2 linked regions of the Caenorhabditis elegans genome follow. The protein of the gene in region 1 purifies or fractionates together with the protein of each later gene. This does not show direct contact. Each region holds a gene or a part of one and is shown on either strand. Other genes may lie near its edges.

What was found.
Region 2: the proteins of ZK353.4 (region 1) and cus-2 fractionate together in Caenorhabditis elegans (co-fractionation; one large-scale study listed by BioGRID). This does not show direct contact.

The regions. Positions count from the first base shown.
Region 1 is NC_003281.10:8,386,357-8,393,049, forward strand, and holds ZK353.4 (uncharacterized protein), read right to left. Parts: upstream 3,284-6,693; coding exon 3,005-3,283; intron 2,840-3,004; coding exon 2,542-2,839; intron 2,497-2,541; coding exon 2,353-2,496; intron 2,303-2,352; coding exon 2,151-2,302; 3' UTR 2,110-2,150; downstream 1-2,109. Other genes in the region: R05D3.12 (Putative DNA topoisomerase 2, mitochondrial), read left to right, coding at 1-214, 262-681, 730-864, 910-1,098; ZK353.10 (Cell division protein FtsL), read right to left, coding at 3,633-3,706, 4,249-4,366.
Region 2 is NC_003279.8:650,625-660,086, reverse strand, and holds cus-2 (17S U2 SnRNP complex component HTATSF1), read right to left. Parts: upstream 5,998-9,462; 5' UTR 5,960-5,997; coding exon 5,860-5,959; intron 5,806-5,859; coding exon 5,028-5,805; intron 3,528-5,027; coding exon 3,341-3,527; intron 1,707-3,340; coding exon 1,443-1,706; 3' UTR 501-1,442; downstream 1-500. Other genes in the region: Y65B4A.8 (Cytidyltransferase-like domain-containing protein), read left to right, coding at 1-82; Y65B4A.2 (Peptidase C1A papain C-terminal domain-containing protein), read right to left, coding at 6,342-6,409, 7,714-8,079.

The DNA of each region.
Region 1 (6,693 bases):
CGTCCCTCTTATTCTGATTAATGGAACTGAAGGTATTGGTACTGGATGGTCAACTAAAATTGCAAATCGAAATCCAATCGATATTATTGATATGATTAGGCGAAAAATTGATTCGATCTCGACGGAATATGAAATACCGCCGTTTTATGAAGAGTTCAGAGGAAAACTTGAAGTAGTTACACCCACAAAGTTTATCAGCAGTGGGAAGATTCAAGTACGAAATTTAAAAAAATTGAATTTATGAAAATTAATATTTTTCAGTTGATACGGCCAGAACGAAAGAATGCTTCAACATTTTCCATTGAGATTGTGGAACTACCAATTGGAATCTGGACTTCAAAATACAAGGAGAAGCTGTCGAAAATTGTGGAGACATTACCAGTTTTAGAGTTTTCCGAACGGCATACCGAAAAACGAGTACATTTTCGAATAACTCTTGACAGAAAGAAATCGTCACGATTTCTACAAAAGAGCAACTCGGATCTTCTGAATTATTTCAAACTTCGGACAAGCTTAACAGAAAATCGAGTGTTGTTTGATAGAAATGGAGAATTGAAAGAATTCGGAAATATTTCGGAAATCGCTGCCGAATTTTTTGAAGTTCGCAGAGATCTTTATGAAAAACGGCTGAAAATTCAAAAAGAGGAATGTGAAGCAAAACTGATATATGTTGAAAATCAGGTATCGTTTTCAAATATCTAAAAGAAATCTGAAATCAGAAAATTTCAGCTCAATTTCATCGAAATGGTGACCAATGGAACTATTGAGATACGATCAATGGGACGTAATCAATTGGAAGAAAAACTTCAGGAAATGGGTTTCAGAGTTGATCCTATGGCAACTATTGCTAAGAACTCCAAAAAAGTAAATTTAATCAATTATGAAGACTTTCAATATCTGAATTTTCAGGCAAACTACGGATACCTTCTTGAAATGCCGGTCTCACGACTAACTTCTGATGAAATGAAAAGATTGGAAGAACGAAAATCACGACGGAGAACTGAGCTTGAAGCAGCTGAATCTGCAGATTGGAAATCTGTGTGGCGTTCCGAATTGGACAAGTTGGCAGAGGCAGTTGGAAACAATAGAAAGAGTTAAATATATGTGATTGTTTTTTTTTTGCTCGAGTGTGTTTTTTAGGTTGTGTATTTTGGATAATAAAACTTATAAACTAGATTTTTGTTGGCGATATTATGGACAGCAAACAATGAAACATTCAATTCGTTTAAAAACTCTTCCATAAACTCGAGCATTACCCATCCTTTGGTAACATCAATACGATCCACTTCAGTCTTGTTGGACACAAACAAAATGTGACCAAGAAAACTTATTGCACTGAATCCTTCTAATTTCCAATCTTTCGTACATTGTTTGTAATTTGAATCCAGCCATTTTATTTCGAAACTACCATTGCCACAAAGGCAGAATGTGAAATAGCCTGACAAATCAATCAAAAATCTAACACCTACATGAACCTATGTTTTTATTTTTATTACTTTGCACGATCGAATAAAATTCTTCATTTTATTGGAAACTGCTGACAACATCAATCTGCAAAACATTTAATATATAATAGGAACAAAAAACACTATAAAACTTACTTTCCCAATAGATCCATATGTTTCAGCACTTTTTCTAAAGAATATTCAGGTAGAGAAAGAATAGGAAAAAATGGGACAATCATTTTGGAGCTACAAAACAAATGGTACAAGATGGATGAATTGGCTAGTGGTTGTTACTCTGTTGGCCTTATTCTCGGTGCGCAAGAAAAGACTGCTAATTTAGAATCGATTCTTACCAGGAAAGTATTTGAGCTCTTTCCCGGAACCTTTAGTACATTTAAATAGGAAGATATCACCATCTGGCCTTATTTGTTGACCTACTCTTATTCCATCTCTATTGTCCATTTTGCCAATATACTACTTATTACTTACTTACACTTGATACGACAGAAATTTATGAAAAATTTTATTTAAATGAAATAAACTCCTTACCAGTGTGATGATTGAGTCTGAATTCAGAAAACAATAAAATCTATTCTGAATGCGAAAAGGAAGAACAGTTTTTTACCCAATTGAATTTTTTATTTGGTAATGTGTTATAGAAATTGCACATAATTCATTTTATTCTTAATACACAAACAATTTGAGTTACTTTTTGACTGCAGAAGATGGTGGAATTGACACGGATGTTTCAGAAGATGGTTTCGAGACATGAACCACAGTTGGAGGAGTGTTTGCTGTAGGGATAGCAGTTTGAGCATATGATTCACTAAATGACATTGGCGGAGTTCGACCAGCTTCTGAAATGTTTTAAATTAGTTTTTTTTTCTGGAAATGAATCAGTGAATACCTATCATGTTGTAATTATTCACTTCACTTCGCTTTGATGAGACTATGTAAGTCGAAATATCACTTCCAATCGAGGATTCCATCGCAGATTCTGCACTTGACATTGGTTTTTCAGGAGTTGAAGCTTGAACTGCGGTGGTTGGCTCTGGAATTAAATTATGAGTTGGCAGAAGACATTGGAAATACTTACTCGGAGAAACGATTTCGACAGAAATCTCTCCTGTTCTATTTGCAGAAGAAGAAGTGTTTGCCATTTTTGTTGCTTCATTTTTCAAATCCGTTAGGCTATTCTTTACCGATAATTCTTCCGTACTTGGCTCCTTGGATACCAATTTTTCAGTTTTTGGCGTGGAAGCTTTGGGAATGGGAACTTTCGGCTTTTGTGCACAAGTCTTCGGCTGCTTCTCAGATTTTTCCTTGATGGTCTCATCAACAGTCGTCTTGGAAAAATCGTCTTGTTCCGTTGATTCAGGCGATTGTTTTTTGACCTGAAAGTTAGAGGATAAATCTAAGATTGACAGATTTCTGTAACTAAGAAGAAGCAGCAGAGAATTGGCAATATGCTGGAGTGAGAAGCTGGGAAATTACGCCATTTAGTTTGATCTTTATTTGAAGTAGCACCACAACAAAATACATAGAGAAACCTGGCATACCTTGTTTTCCGAACAACTTCTAGAAGCCAATGAGTTATTAATAACCACCGGATCACGAATACTATTTTCAATCTCAATCCCTCCAGTCTCATCAGCCAACTGATTTTTCTTTCGTTGAGATCTCAGATACACCACAAACATGTATCCAGTGACTATCAAAATGAGCACAACCAAGATGAGTCCGAAGCACCAGGCAGCCCAGTTTGCAGGACTTTTTTCTGAAATTGGAAGGCATTTCAAAACTTCTTTTATAGATAACTCACCTTTGTCTTCTAGCATAACTATACCAATTTAAGTGGATGATGTTTAAAAATGAAGTAAATCGGTGATAATTGTGTTCAATACATAAACACAAATTGGAACTGAGTTTTAATTTTGTTTTTTTCGTTTTTTTTAAATGTTTTTTTTTGGAAGTTCACGTTGCTATGATGCTTTTTAGTTTCGAAATTTCGGCTTGACTGATAACAAAAAAAACTTCTCATATCAATAGCATTTTATAACCATGTTAATGTACACTGCAGTTCGTTTTAAAGTTGTTTATCATATCAATATATACACAAAACAGGAATAAAATTAACCCGAAATGGTTTAACATGAGAAATATGTGCAACAAAACAATTTGAAATGTTCAACTCCTCGTTTCAGTGAGCTCAATTCCATGCACCGAGTAGATTACCATTCGTTCCTCCACTTTTTGTTCAACTGAAAAAAATATTTTTAAGTATAAAATTTCGGTTTTTAGTTTCAAGACATTCCCTTATTTAAGATTCCCAGCTGAGGGCATCATAAGGAACTAAGAGTTATGAAGCGCAAACTTTTTTTTTCTTGCTTCCAATCCAATAAATAACCCCATCTTGACGTCAGGCATCATCATCATCTCGATATTTCATCTTTTCCCACTTGAGCATAAAATGCTCTGTGAAAAGCCACTTCAAATCACGTCATTTATGCAGTTTGAAAAATCAAAAAGAAATTTGAAATGCTCTTCAGATATGGAATATAACAACAAAACAAAAATTCTAGAGTTCTACTGCCTACATACCTGCCTATTGTCTGCATTGTAAGACGATTTATTAGTTAACTTAATGTATGAGTGTTTAACAAGGCAAATAGATCGCCGGAGATATAGGTAGGTAGGCATATTTTAAAAAATAGGTCAAACGGGAAACTTTTCGAAAAAGGAGATTTTAGATTTAGAAATGGGAGAATATTTTCTGATAGCTCAGTAGAAAAGTTCAACGTACCCATCAGATCAATCTTCCTTCCCAATGCTAACGAGAAAGCAACAAGAGCTAATGCGATTAGTGTCATTCCAATTGAAACGAATACGACGACACGTTTCACACGCTTCTGATTGTGTTCCTGGAAATAGAATACTTTTCATTCTTTTTTTGGACTTTTTTTTTGGTAATGTGGGTGGAAGTCTGATTGGGTTCAAGTGTGCTTTCTGAACTTTATTATGTCATGGAAAAATATTTTCGATCCTTAAAATTCTAACCAATGGGTTATTGTAATTCAAGTTTAAAAGTAATAAAATTGTTCTGCTGACAATAAGGGGGTTTTCCTAGTCACATGGTAATAAATATCAATTCTACACAAATTTTCAAATTTCCGATCTTCACATTAAGAAGCTATTTTGTTTCCGGTTTGCAAATTAAAAATCCCAATTGGTGTTAAAACAGAGATCAATTTATTTATTTTTTGTCTGAAAAATTCTGCTTCTTGATGAGTTTTCTTTCTTCTTTTGTGTATGTTTTTTTTGTGTTCTCTCGAGTTATATGTGTTCTTCTTCTTTTTCTTCTCATAATAGAATATCATATTGTTCTGACTTCAGTTGTTTTTGACATCCTCTCGAGAACTCTTTTTTTCTTTTGATTTCTCTAAATCTCTTTTAATTTGCCAACTATTTTCTCATGTAAGAACACGAGAAGAAATGACATAAAATCAGATGGATGAGATGGAAGAAAAATGAATGGAAGTTGAAAATTGTAAAAAGACACATGTATTTTTCATTTTCTCTTTACAATTTCCCCCAACAAATATTTTTCCTAATTTTTTTTTCAATTTTTTGTTTTTTGTCGGAAGAAGGAAAAAATAAATCAAAAGTCAAGCAAAAAGAGGAAATTTGCAGAATTATTCATGGATTAACGGCGATGGACATCGTCATCGACTTAAGCCAATGAGAAAATTCTAATTTATGTGTACACGCAAACAAGTTGAAAAGGGGAAATCTAAATGTCAGAATCTGGAATCCTGTGGTATTCCTAAAGTTCGATATTCTGGAAAACAAATTACAAATTATCGCAGTTTTTCTAGAGAATTAAATTCTAATAATTTTGTGAGCTAAACATGGTGCATCCAAACAGTACAAATGTGCTCAACCGAACAACAATAATGACTCTACAAAATTAGGATCTTTTTTATGGTTACTGTCATTTGATTTTACAAAAACTGAACCACCCGTTTCGGAGAAAAATGAGCCCAAGCGTCAGAGCATATTGTAGCCAGACAATGTACGTCTTTTAGGACATAAATTCAGCACAGATCAAACGTATCGAGTCTATACCGCTGAAAATAACAGAAAATATAGTGCAGGCAAGTAGGTAGGCAGAATATAGCCACCCTGGCAGAAGTTGCTATATAACTTTACCCTTTTTGTTCAGGAACCATCGACTGGCTTTGGTTTTTTTCTGAAAGTGTTGTGATTTTGCAGCTCTCCGAATTGTCCAATGATGTTTTACTCTGCCCTATTGTAGGTCGTCTTCAGGTATATAAAACAGTCACTGGATGCCTGCCTTCGTACTTTTCCAGTAGTAAAGCCTCTAGGACACCCTACTTGAACGACTTAAAGCCATAAATTGGCAATAGGAATAAATATGGAAATTACGAATTCATATTCAGTATTCTGACGTCTTCATATCGAAAAGGGTTATTCTTTGAACTTTAAGTGTATTTCTTTTGTTCAAAAAAAGAATGATCTCCGATCGACTCAATTAGTATCTCATTCCTTTTTTTCTACCCGTGAATCGGTTTCCGATCCTATCGCACACACACACACACTACGAGCATAATCCGAAATAAGGGGAAAAAAGAAAAGACACAAGACCTTTTTCTCATGTGCTCTGCCCCGAGACAAGCTCACCGCCAATTGCATCATTTTGAGCAGTCTCATTTTTTCCCTAGTCATTCGATACGGAGTGGGGATAGATGATACATTTTTCTTGTGAGAGGAGACGAAGAGTTATTTTTTCCCGCGCATACTTGCAAATTTATGCATGTGCATGAAATTTGATGAAGTTATGGATATGAAGTTTAAGGAGACAGAAAATGACACTTCTTCCGTTTTTTTTCTTGCAGGATCATTTTATAAGAAGTCACGGAAAGTTTACGAGTTGGTGTTCTAGAATCTATTTCTGAATAAAGCACTTTCTGGGCAAAAGCTCATGTGGTATTATTTTGACAATTAAAAAACCTCAGGACGAATTAAACATCGGGAGGCAAGATGGGCGCCGGGGACGCCCCGTGATGTCTCATCTAGATCATTTTTTTTTAAATAATAAAATGATTGTTAAAGTTACTAAAACGAGTTCATTCAGTGTTTAATATGGATAAAATTGGGGTTTTATTTTTTTTTAGAAAAATTCCGGCCTAATTTTTTCAGACGGGGTTGTCTCTAATTTTTTGGAAAT
Region 2 (9,462 bases), on another chromosome or scaffold:
GTTGTGCTCTCTGTGGGCGTACGAGGAGACTCATGCACAGGTCGATCGAGCTGTGGAAGAGTTGATGAAGAGAATTTTGTAGATTTTGTAGATTTACTAGTTAATTGTGTATTATTATGAGACCACGAAATTTTAAAATTGCGTATTGAACAACATATTTGACGCGCAAAATATCTCGTAGCGAAAACTACAGTAATTCTTTAAATGGATACTGTAGCGTGCTAGTGTCGATTTACGGGATCTCCATTTTTCCTACAATTCTTTAGGTTCTTTAAGATTCCCGTAAATCGACACTAGCGCGCTACAGTATCCATTTAACGAATTACTGTAGTTTTCGCTACGAGATATTTTGCGCGTCAAATGTGTTGCGATGTACGCATTATCAGAATTTTGTATTACCTTAATATGTGCCTGTTTTTTGCCTGCCTACTGCCTACTTTGTCTGTGATTATCTCGATTTTAATTGTATCACTGGGTTTTTTTTTTGAAGTTTTCGGGAAAGGAATATATAAAAATTAATTTAAATGAGTATATAAAATGCAATTTTCACAGAAAAAACTCTAAATGACCTCGAAAATTTTCGAAAAAATTGAACATTTTCGTTACTTCAAATTTTTTTTTAGTTAGGAAAATCGTAAGATTGAAATTTTTGAATTTTTTTCGTTGAAAAATCGATAATTTTTGATTTTTCAAATTTTTTGTTTAATTTCAAAAATTCACGGATTTTTAGAAAAAAATTTCAAATCAACGACACAATGGCGCAGAAAATTTTAAAATTTTCGAAAAAAGGGATTTTAACTGAAATTTGGTTTTTTTTTTGAATTTTTTTGAATAGGGAAAATTGAAAATTTCTGGTTTTTTCAGATTTTTAGGAAAGTATTTTCATATTTGATTTTTGGTGAAATTTTTCGTTCTTTTAGTTTTTTTTTTCTAGAAAACCGAAAACATGCAATTTTTCGGAAAATGCTTCCAAATTTAATTAATTTTTTTTTGAAAATTTCAATTGATAGGTTGTTCCTATTTTCGGAAAAAAAATGTATAAACTAAAAATAATTTTTCAAAAAAAAAGCAATTTTCCAAGAAAATTTTTTTCCCGGAAAATCGTAGGATTGAAATTTTAGAATTTTTTTAAAACTCTCAAATTTTGGCCATTTTTCTTTTTAAACGACCCAATTGGCCCAGAAAATTAGAAAATTTCGAAAAAAGGGATTTTAATTGAAATTAGGCAATTTTTGTTCGAAATTTTTAAAATATCGCGATATCGTCGAAAAATTTGGCAAACATTTTTAAAGCTAATTTTCGAAAAATCCATGAAAACGAAAATTCACTAAATTTGATATTTTTGGGCGATTTTGAACATAGTTTTGGTAAAAATTGATCGGTTGCTCCTCTCGGAAAAATGTATAAACTAAAAATAATTTTTCAGAAAAAATTTAGATCAATCAATTATCTTCAGCTTCATCGTCATCATCGTCGTCGCTCTCCTCCTTCGTCTCACTACTTCCACCCTCAATATACTTCTCGTACTCTTTCCGACGCTTCTCCTCATCCTCTTCCGTCTCCTCGACCTTAAACTTTGTCCGGCCATCCCAGAGCTCGGCTGTCAATTTCCGACCGTCAACTACTCGTCCGTGAAGATATTTTACAGCCATATCCGATTCTTCTGTCGTTGGAAAGGTTACCGATACGACGCCGTCCGGGTGGTTCTGAAAATTGGGGAAATTTGATGGAAAAAGTCTATTTAAAAATTTTTGATTTAAATTTTAAGACAAAAATCTGCACTTTTTCAAAAAAATTTTTTTTTTTTAATTAGGAGCCTTTTTTTTTGGAAAATCAAAATTTTTCATTTTTAAATAAAAAATCAAAATATTTCGTTTTTTTTAATAAAAAATCAAAATTTTTCGTTTTTTTTAATAAAAAAAAATCAAAATATTTCGTTTTTTTTTTTAAATAAAAAAAGTGGAATTTTTCCGAAAACGCTACAGTAGACACTTAAAGAATTACTGTAGTTTTCACTACGAGATATTTTGCGCGTCAAATATGTTGTGCAATACGCATTCTCAGCATTTTGTGCACTCGTAATAGAAGAAATTTTGAATTTTTGATTTTTTACAACGAAAATCGACGAAACTGACAAAAAATCAGCAGTTTGTCAAAAAAAAAGCATTCTTGAAAAATAACTAGAAGCCTATTTTTTTTTTAATCGATTGTTTTTTCCGAAATATTCAAGCGAAAATCAAAAATTTTCGTTTTTTTTCAATAAAAATTTTTGAATTATTTCAATAAAAATTTTTGAATTAATGATTTTCAAATTTCAAAAAATGTCAAAAAAATCGGAAGTTAATCAAAATTCGATTTGTTTTTTGAAAAATACTCATAATTTTTTTTTGGAAATTTTAAAAATGTCTTTCAGAAGATTTTGAATTTTTTTAATCGAAAAAAAAAACCAACAATTTTCGATTTTCCGAAATTTTTTGTTGTTTTAATTCCGTAAATTAGCTAAAAATTGTTTTTTTTAATTTTTCGAAATCCATAGTTTTTATTTATTTATACATTTTGATGATTTTTTTTTGAAAATTGAAAAATCCAATAACTTTAAAAAATCCAATAACTTTTTTTTTAAATTTATCTTTTTTTGAACAATTTATTTTAAAAATCGATAAATGCATCAATTTTGGGGTTCTTTTTGAAAATTAGCTTTACTTTTTTTAAAATTAGCTAAAAATTGTTTTTTTTTTAAATTTCTCGAAAAAAAAAGCTGTAAAAAATTTTTGAAAGAACAATTTATAACCATTTCTCATTGTTTTTTTAAAATACTTTTTTTTCGAAAATCGAAATTTCCAAAAATTTTCGGTTTTTTCGAAAAATAGCCATTTTTTAATGTTAAAAATTTATTTTTTTTTAGAATAAATTTTTTTTGAAAATCGAAATTTCCACAAATTTTCGGTTTTTTTTCGAAAATTAGCTAAAAATTGTTTTTTTTTAATTTTTCGAAAAATAGCCATAATTTTTTTAATGTTAAAGGTTATCTTTTTTAGAACAATTTTTTTGAAAATTTGTTAAATCCAATAATTTTGGGTTTTTTTTCGAAAATTAGCTTTACATTTTTAAAAATTTTTCCGACAAATAGCTTCAAAAATTTTTGATCCCGTTTTTAGAATATTTTTTTATGAATATCGACATTTCTAAAAAAAAAAATTTTCGGTTTTTTTTCCAAAATTAGCTTCAATTTTTCGAAAATTAGCTTTAAATTTTTTAAATCTTTTTTTTTTAATTTATTTTTTTAGAATAAATTTTTTTTACAAAAATCGAAATTTCCACAAATTTCCTCAATACCAACCGCATAAACGACGACTTTCTTAACAATTCCATATTTCTGACAACTTTGTGTCATTTCCTCTTTCAAATCCAACATCAACGCCGCATTCTTGTTCATCATTTCCTGAGTGAACAGATTTTTGACAATAACCGTACAGTCCGACTTTGGACGGTAGTTACGTGGCTTATCGGGCGTCCATTCGAAGATTCTGGAAAGGAAAAATCAGAATTTTTGGTTGAAATTTGTAATTTTTGAGGGAAAAATTCGAGAAATTATTAAAAAATGGTAGAAAATAACTGAAAATATATTTTTTAGGAACCAAAACAACCAATTTTTTTCGATTTTCCTCGAATTTGAATTTCGTAGTGAAAAATCCGGACAGTTTACGATTTTTACACCAAAAATTAGGGTAATACGGTCGCCGGTCACGACACGACAAATTTTTTGTAAAATTCTAGAAGGTATGCGCCTTTAAATAGTACTGTAATTTCAAACTTTGTGGAATTTTCTTCGATTTTTCGTAGTTTATTTGAAAAATCAAAAAAAAATTCCATAAAGTTTGAAATTACAGTACTCTTTAAAGGCGCACACCTTTTTTAGAATTTAACAAAAAAATTGTCGTGTCGAGACCAGCTACCATATTACCCTTATTTTAGGTGTAAAAATTGTAAAATTTCGCAATTAAATAATATTTAAAAATTCCGGATTTTTCACGGAAAAATTTGAGTAAAATCGGCAAAAGTTGGCTTTTTGGTCCCTAAAAAATTGATTTTCAGTTAGTCTCTACGATTTTTAATAATTTTTCGAATTCTTCCCGCAAAAATTACACATTTTAGCCCAAAAAATTGTTGAATGAAAAAAATTTTTTTTGTCTTTTTTCGTAATTTTTAGTGTGAAAATTAAGAAAAATAAATGCTAAAATAAAATATTTTTTTTGCAAATTTAGGCAAAAATCGGGATTTTTCTACAAAATTCAATAGTTTTTTAGTCAATTTCATTTGATTTTGTGTCGTTAGTTTATCTTTTCTATGAAAAATGCAAGGAATTTGGCCTAAAATTCGCAATTTTCGAGTTAAATCTGGTATTTTTTGGGTGAAATCTGAAAATTCTAAGATTTTCAGCAGGTTTTCAAGTTAACAATTTTGTTGGGTTTCAATTTTTGTTTTTTTAAACCAAAAATCGAAATTTTTCTCTGAAATTTTGTGATTTTCAAAGCCATTTGTCATCAAATTCGGACAAAAATCCACGATTTGGGCCAATTTTTTCGTCGATATATTATGGGAACACAATATTCTGAGAATGCGTATTGCACAACATATTTGACGCGCAAAATATCTCGTAGCGAAAACTACTCTTTAAATGACTACTGTAGCGCTTGTGTCGATTTACGGGGGCTCGATTATTGAAATAAATTTTTTAGATTTTTTTGTATTATTTTCCTATTTTTTGCCCAATTTCAATATCACATAAATAAATTCTTTTAATTCATTTCGAAAATCGAGCAGCCCGTAAATCGACACAAGTGCTACAGTAGTCTTAGTTTTCGCTACGAGATATTTTGCGCGTCAAAAAAAAAAAAAATGTTGTGCAGTACGCATTCTCAGGATTTTGTGTTCCCGTAATACGATTTTTTTTGGTTTTTTTTCATTTTTTCAGCTTAATGTCGATTTACGAGCTATTTCAAATTTCACCAAATATTTTTTATTACTTATTCTGCTGCTCCATATATCGTTTTTTCTGCGCCGCAGTCAATTTCCGCCGCTTCCTCGCCGGATCAAAATCGCCCTTCATCTCAAATCGAGCTTCCTCAACCTTCACTTCCCGCCCGTTTAAGTTCGCTCCATCGAGAATGTTACAGGCAAGCTCGACAGATTCCTTCTTAATATAACAACATCTTCCGTCGCCTTTGAGTTTGCCGTTTTCCTCCCGGTAAAGCTTGCATTTCGGCTTATTCGTTCGAATATCCGGCTGAATAACTCCACATTTTGACATAAATTTCTGGAATTCCTCGTCTGTAATATCTTCCGGAAGATTTGACACATAAACCGCATGAACCTTATCTCCTAGGTCAAGCCAGCCCTCTTTAGCGTCTTCCCCGGCTCCCAAGCCAACTTTTTTCTTCCGCTTCTTCTCCTTCTTCTCTTCATCTTCTTTTTGAGCTTTTGCCGCTTTTTCTTGCAATTCTTCGTCCATTTTTTTATAAATATCATCATACTGAACCCCGTAATTCGCTTGATATTCTGCGATAAAATCCTCATTGACCTCCTCCTGCTTGGCCTTCGGCACCCATTCCTTCTTTTCTTCATCCCAATCATAGTGCCTATGAGCTTTTTTCTCCTGATCCTCCTGCTCAAACCACAGTTGGCTCAGAAATTCCACTTCGTCGAGGCCTACGGGCTCCCAGTCCTCGTCGATGTGCTCCAGAAGATCCCCATCTTCGCCGTACTTTCCGTACCATTTATTGTTGAGAAATCGTCGAGAAAAACCTAGAAAAAATGCAAAAAGTAATTGAAAATTGATAAAGTCAGCATTTTCCTCACTTTGGTCGATGATAATTGCTTGAGCTGGGATTTCATGGATTTCATCGATTTTTTGAGATTCTTCTTCATTTTCCTCGGTTTCTGGCACAAAATCCGACATTTTTAAGCCTGAAATTAAAGAAAATCAGCAACTTTAATAAATTCGAAAAAAAAATAAATTTCAAAATATGCGCTCGGTGTTTGCACACAATACACCAAACCTGACGCGCATTGTTTTTTTGTTTTTTTCCATCAATTGAAGACCAGAAAAATGATTTATTTTACACAAATATTGAAAATGTCTATGAGAATGGCAAATTTTAGCATCCAAAAAAAATCTAATTAAAAAAAAACTATGGAATGAGGGAGCTAATAAATGATGGCCGAATAAAAATAAATAATTGATTTTTCTCGGAAATGGGACAAGTTGAGATGCAATCGGGTGGGGATGAAATAGGTGGACAATATTTAACTATTTACAAAAAATTTTTGCCGAATTATAATTAGACGACTGCTGTTTCATACTCTAGACCATATTTTTCCATGTCATCTGTGTTGATTTTGAAGAGTCCTGGAAAAAAAACGGTGATTTTTACGAGTTAATTAGGGCCACGTGGTGTCAGAGTGTCACATTTCGGCCTGAATCACGTTGATCTACAAAAAATGCGGGAGAAGAGGAGACGCAGAGTTCTCAACTGATTTTGCATGGTTAAGAACGTGCTGACGTCACATTTTTTTGGGCGAAAAATTCCCGCGTTTTTGTAGGTCAAACTATAATGGGACAGCCTGGCACTACGTGTTAGAGTGTATTTGGTTCGCGACTTGATGCACCATATTTGACGCGAAAAGTTTGAAAATATATTGAAAATTTCAGAAATGTTCTGAAAAAAATTGCCAGTTTTTTACGCAATACTAATTCTCTGACTTTTTGTCCAAAATTAAAGTTTTGCGCGTCAAATATGGTGTTTTGTAACATGACCGATCGGCTACATCATATTTGACGCGCAAAACTTCCAAATTTGCTCGCAAAATATATTGTAGCCGATCGACCGCAATATGCACTGTATTTGACGTCCAAATTTATTTACGGCAACACAAAATTCTAAGAATGCGTACTGCGCAACATATTTGACGCGCAAAATATCAATATATCTCGTAGCGAAAACTACAGTAATTCTTTAAATGACTACTGTAGCGCTTTTGTCGATTTTTTTTTTCGGGCTCTATTTTTGAAATAATTTATTTTTAGATAGAATACACGTGGTGTCAAAGTGTCTCACTTCGGCGTGATCTACAAAAAATGCGGGAATTTATACGCAGATTTCTCAACAAATTTCGTATGGTTAGGGGCGTGCTGACGTCACATTTTTCTGGGCGAAAAATTCCCGCATTTTTTGTAGATCAAACCGTTATGGGACAGAATGACACACCGTGAGAATACTAAATAAAAATAAGCAAAAAATGAGAAAAAATGGAATATCGCTGTAACTTTTTTTTCGAGCCCGTAAATCGACATAAACGCTGCAGTAGTCATTTGAAAAATTACTGTAGTTTTCGCTACGAGATATTTTGCGCGTCAAATATGTTGCGCAACACGCATTCTTAAAAAGCACTATATTTAACGCGCATCACGGCCCGGGAAGTGGCACCTGTACGCAATTTGTTTACCGTATACCTGGGCTTTTTCTCAAAAACGGCTCGTCCAACATTTTTGTGATGCATATAAAAAATGTCCGAAATCAAATTCTAAATTTTTTGGACCAAGGCGTTTTCCTTAAAACGCGCCCAAACCTGGCTAAACTCAAATTATCAGTGGAGCGCATTTGTATGGATGTACCATTTGCCGGGCCGTGCGCAATTTGCACGAAAACTCACCATTATCACCCCAATGGTTACCAAAACTATTAACAGCCAACCAATAATGTGTTCCATCATCTGATTCTCCCCATCCGATCAATCGAACCACGTGCCAATACACAATTCGATCGTCGAAACCATCAGTTGGATACGGGCGGAACACTCCGCTCGAATAATGAAGGAATTCTTCGGGAACTGGGAACGCCATCGTGGTGGGACCATAAAGTAGAATTTCTTTTTTGATGATGTCACGGTACTCGGTCACGTTCAGCTTCTCGGTTTTCTTATCGTTGAAGTGACCGATGATTGTTGGCACCTTTACTCGTTCCTTTCCATCGGGGGATACTGTCATTGAGCGGGGATACATTGAATAGGCAAAGGTTGCTGCAAAAATTTGAATTGAAATTTGCGCTTAAAATATGGTGTATTGGTCGAAACGAAATTTTGAATTTTAGTTTTGCGCATTAAATAAAAATATATTTTCTTCCGTGAAGTCAATTACAGACACTTGGTGCCAGAGTGTCTCATTGCGGCTTGATCTACGTAGATCTACAAAAAATGCGGCAGAGTTCTCAACTGATTTCGTATGGTTAAGAACGTGCTGACGTCACATGTTTTTGGGCTAAAAATTCCCGCATTTTTTGTAGATCAAACCGCGATGGGGCAGCCATTTCCGAAAAAAAATATCGGAAAAATCGATAATTATCGGAAAAATCGATAATTATCGGAAAAATCGATAATTATCCGAAAAATCGATAATTATCGGAAAAATCGATAATTATCGGGAAAAACGATAATTATCGGAAAAATTGATAATTATCGGAAAAAATTGATAATTATTGGAAAAATTCATGATTTCCGGAAAAAAATCGATAATTACCCGAAAAGTCGATAATTATCGAAAAAAATCGATAATTATCGGAAAAATCGATAACTATCGGAAAAGTCGATTATTATCGGAAAAATCGATAATTATCGGAAAAAATCGATAATTACCGGAAAAATCGATAATTATCGGGAAAATCGATAATTACCCGAAAAGTCGATAATTATCGAAAAAAAATCGATAATTATCGGAAAAATCGATAACTATCGGAAAAGTCGATTATTATCGGAAAAATCGATAATTATCGGAAAAAATCGATAATTACCGGAAAAATCGATAATTATCGGGAAAATCGATAATTATCGGAAAAAATCGATAATTATCCGAAAAATCGATAATTATCGGAAAAATTGATAATTATCGGAAAAAATTGATAATTATTGGAAAAATTCATGATTTCCGGAAAAAAATCGATAATTACCCGAAAAGTCGATAATTATCGAAAAAAATCGATAATTATCGGAAAAATCGATAACTATCGGAAAAGTCGATTATTATCGGAAAAATCGATAATTATCGGAAAAAATCGATAATTACCGGAAAAATCGATAATTATCGGGAAAATCGATAATTACCCGAAAAGTCGATAATTATCGAAAAAAAATCGATAATTATCGGAAAAATCGATAACTATCGGAAAAGTCGATTATTATCGGAAAAATCGATAATTATCGGAAAAAATCGATAATTACCCGAAAAGTCGATAATTATCGAAAAAAATCGATAATTATCGGAAAAATCGATAACTATCGGAAAAGTCGATTATTATCGGAAAAATCGATAATTATCGGAAAAAATCGATAATTACCGGAAAAATCGATAATTATCGGGAAAATCGATAATTACCCGAAAAGTCGATAATTATCGAAAAAAAATCGATA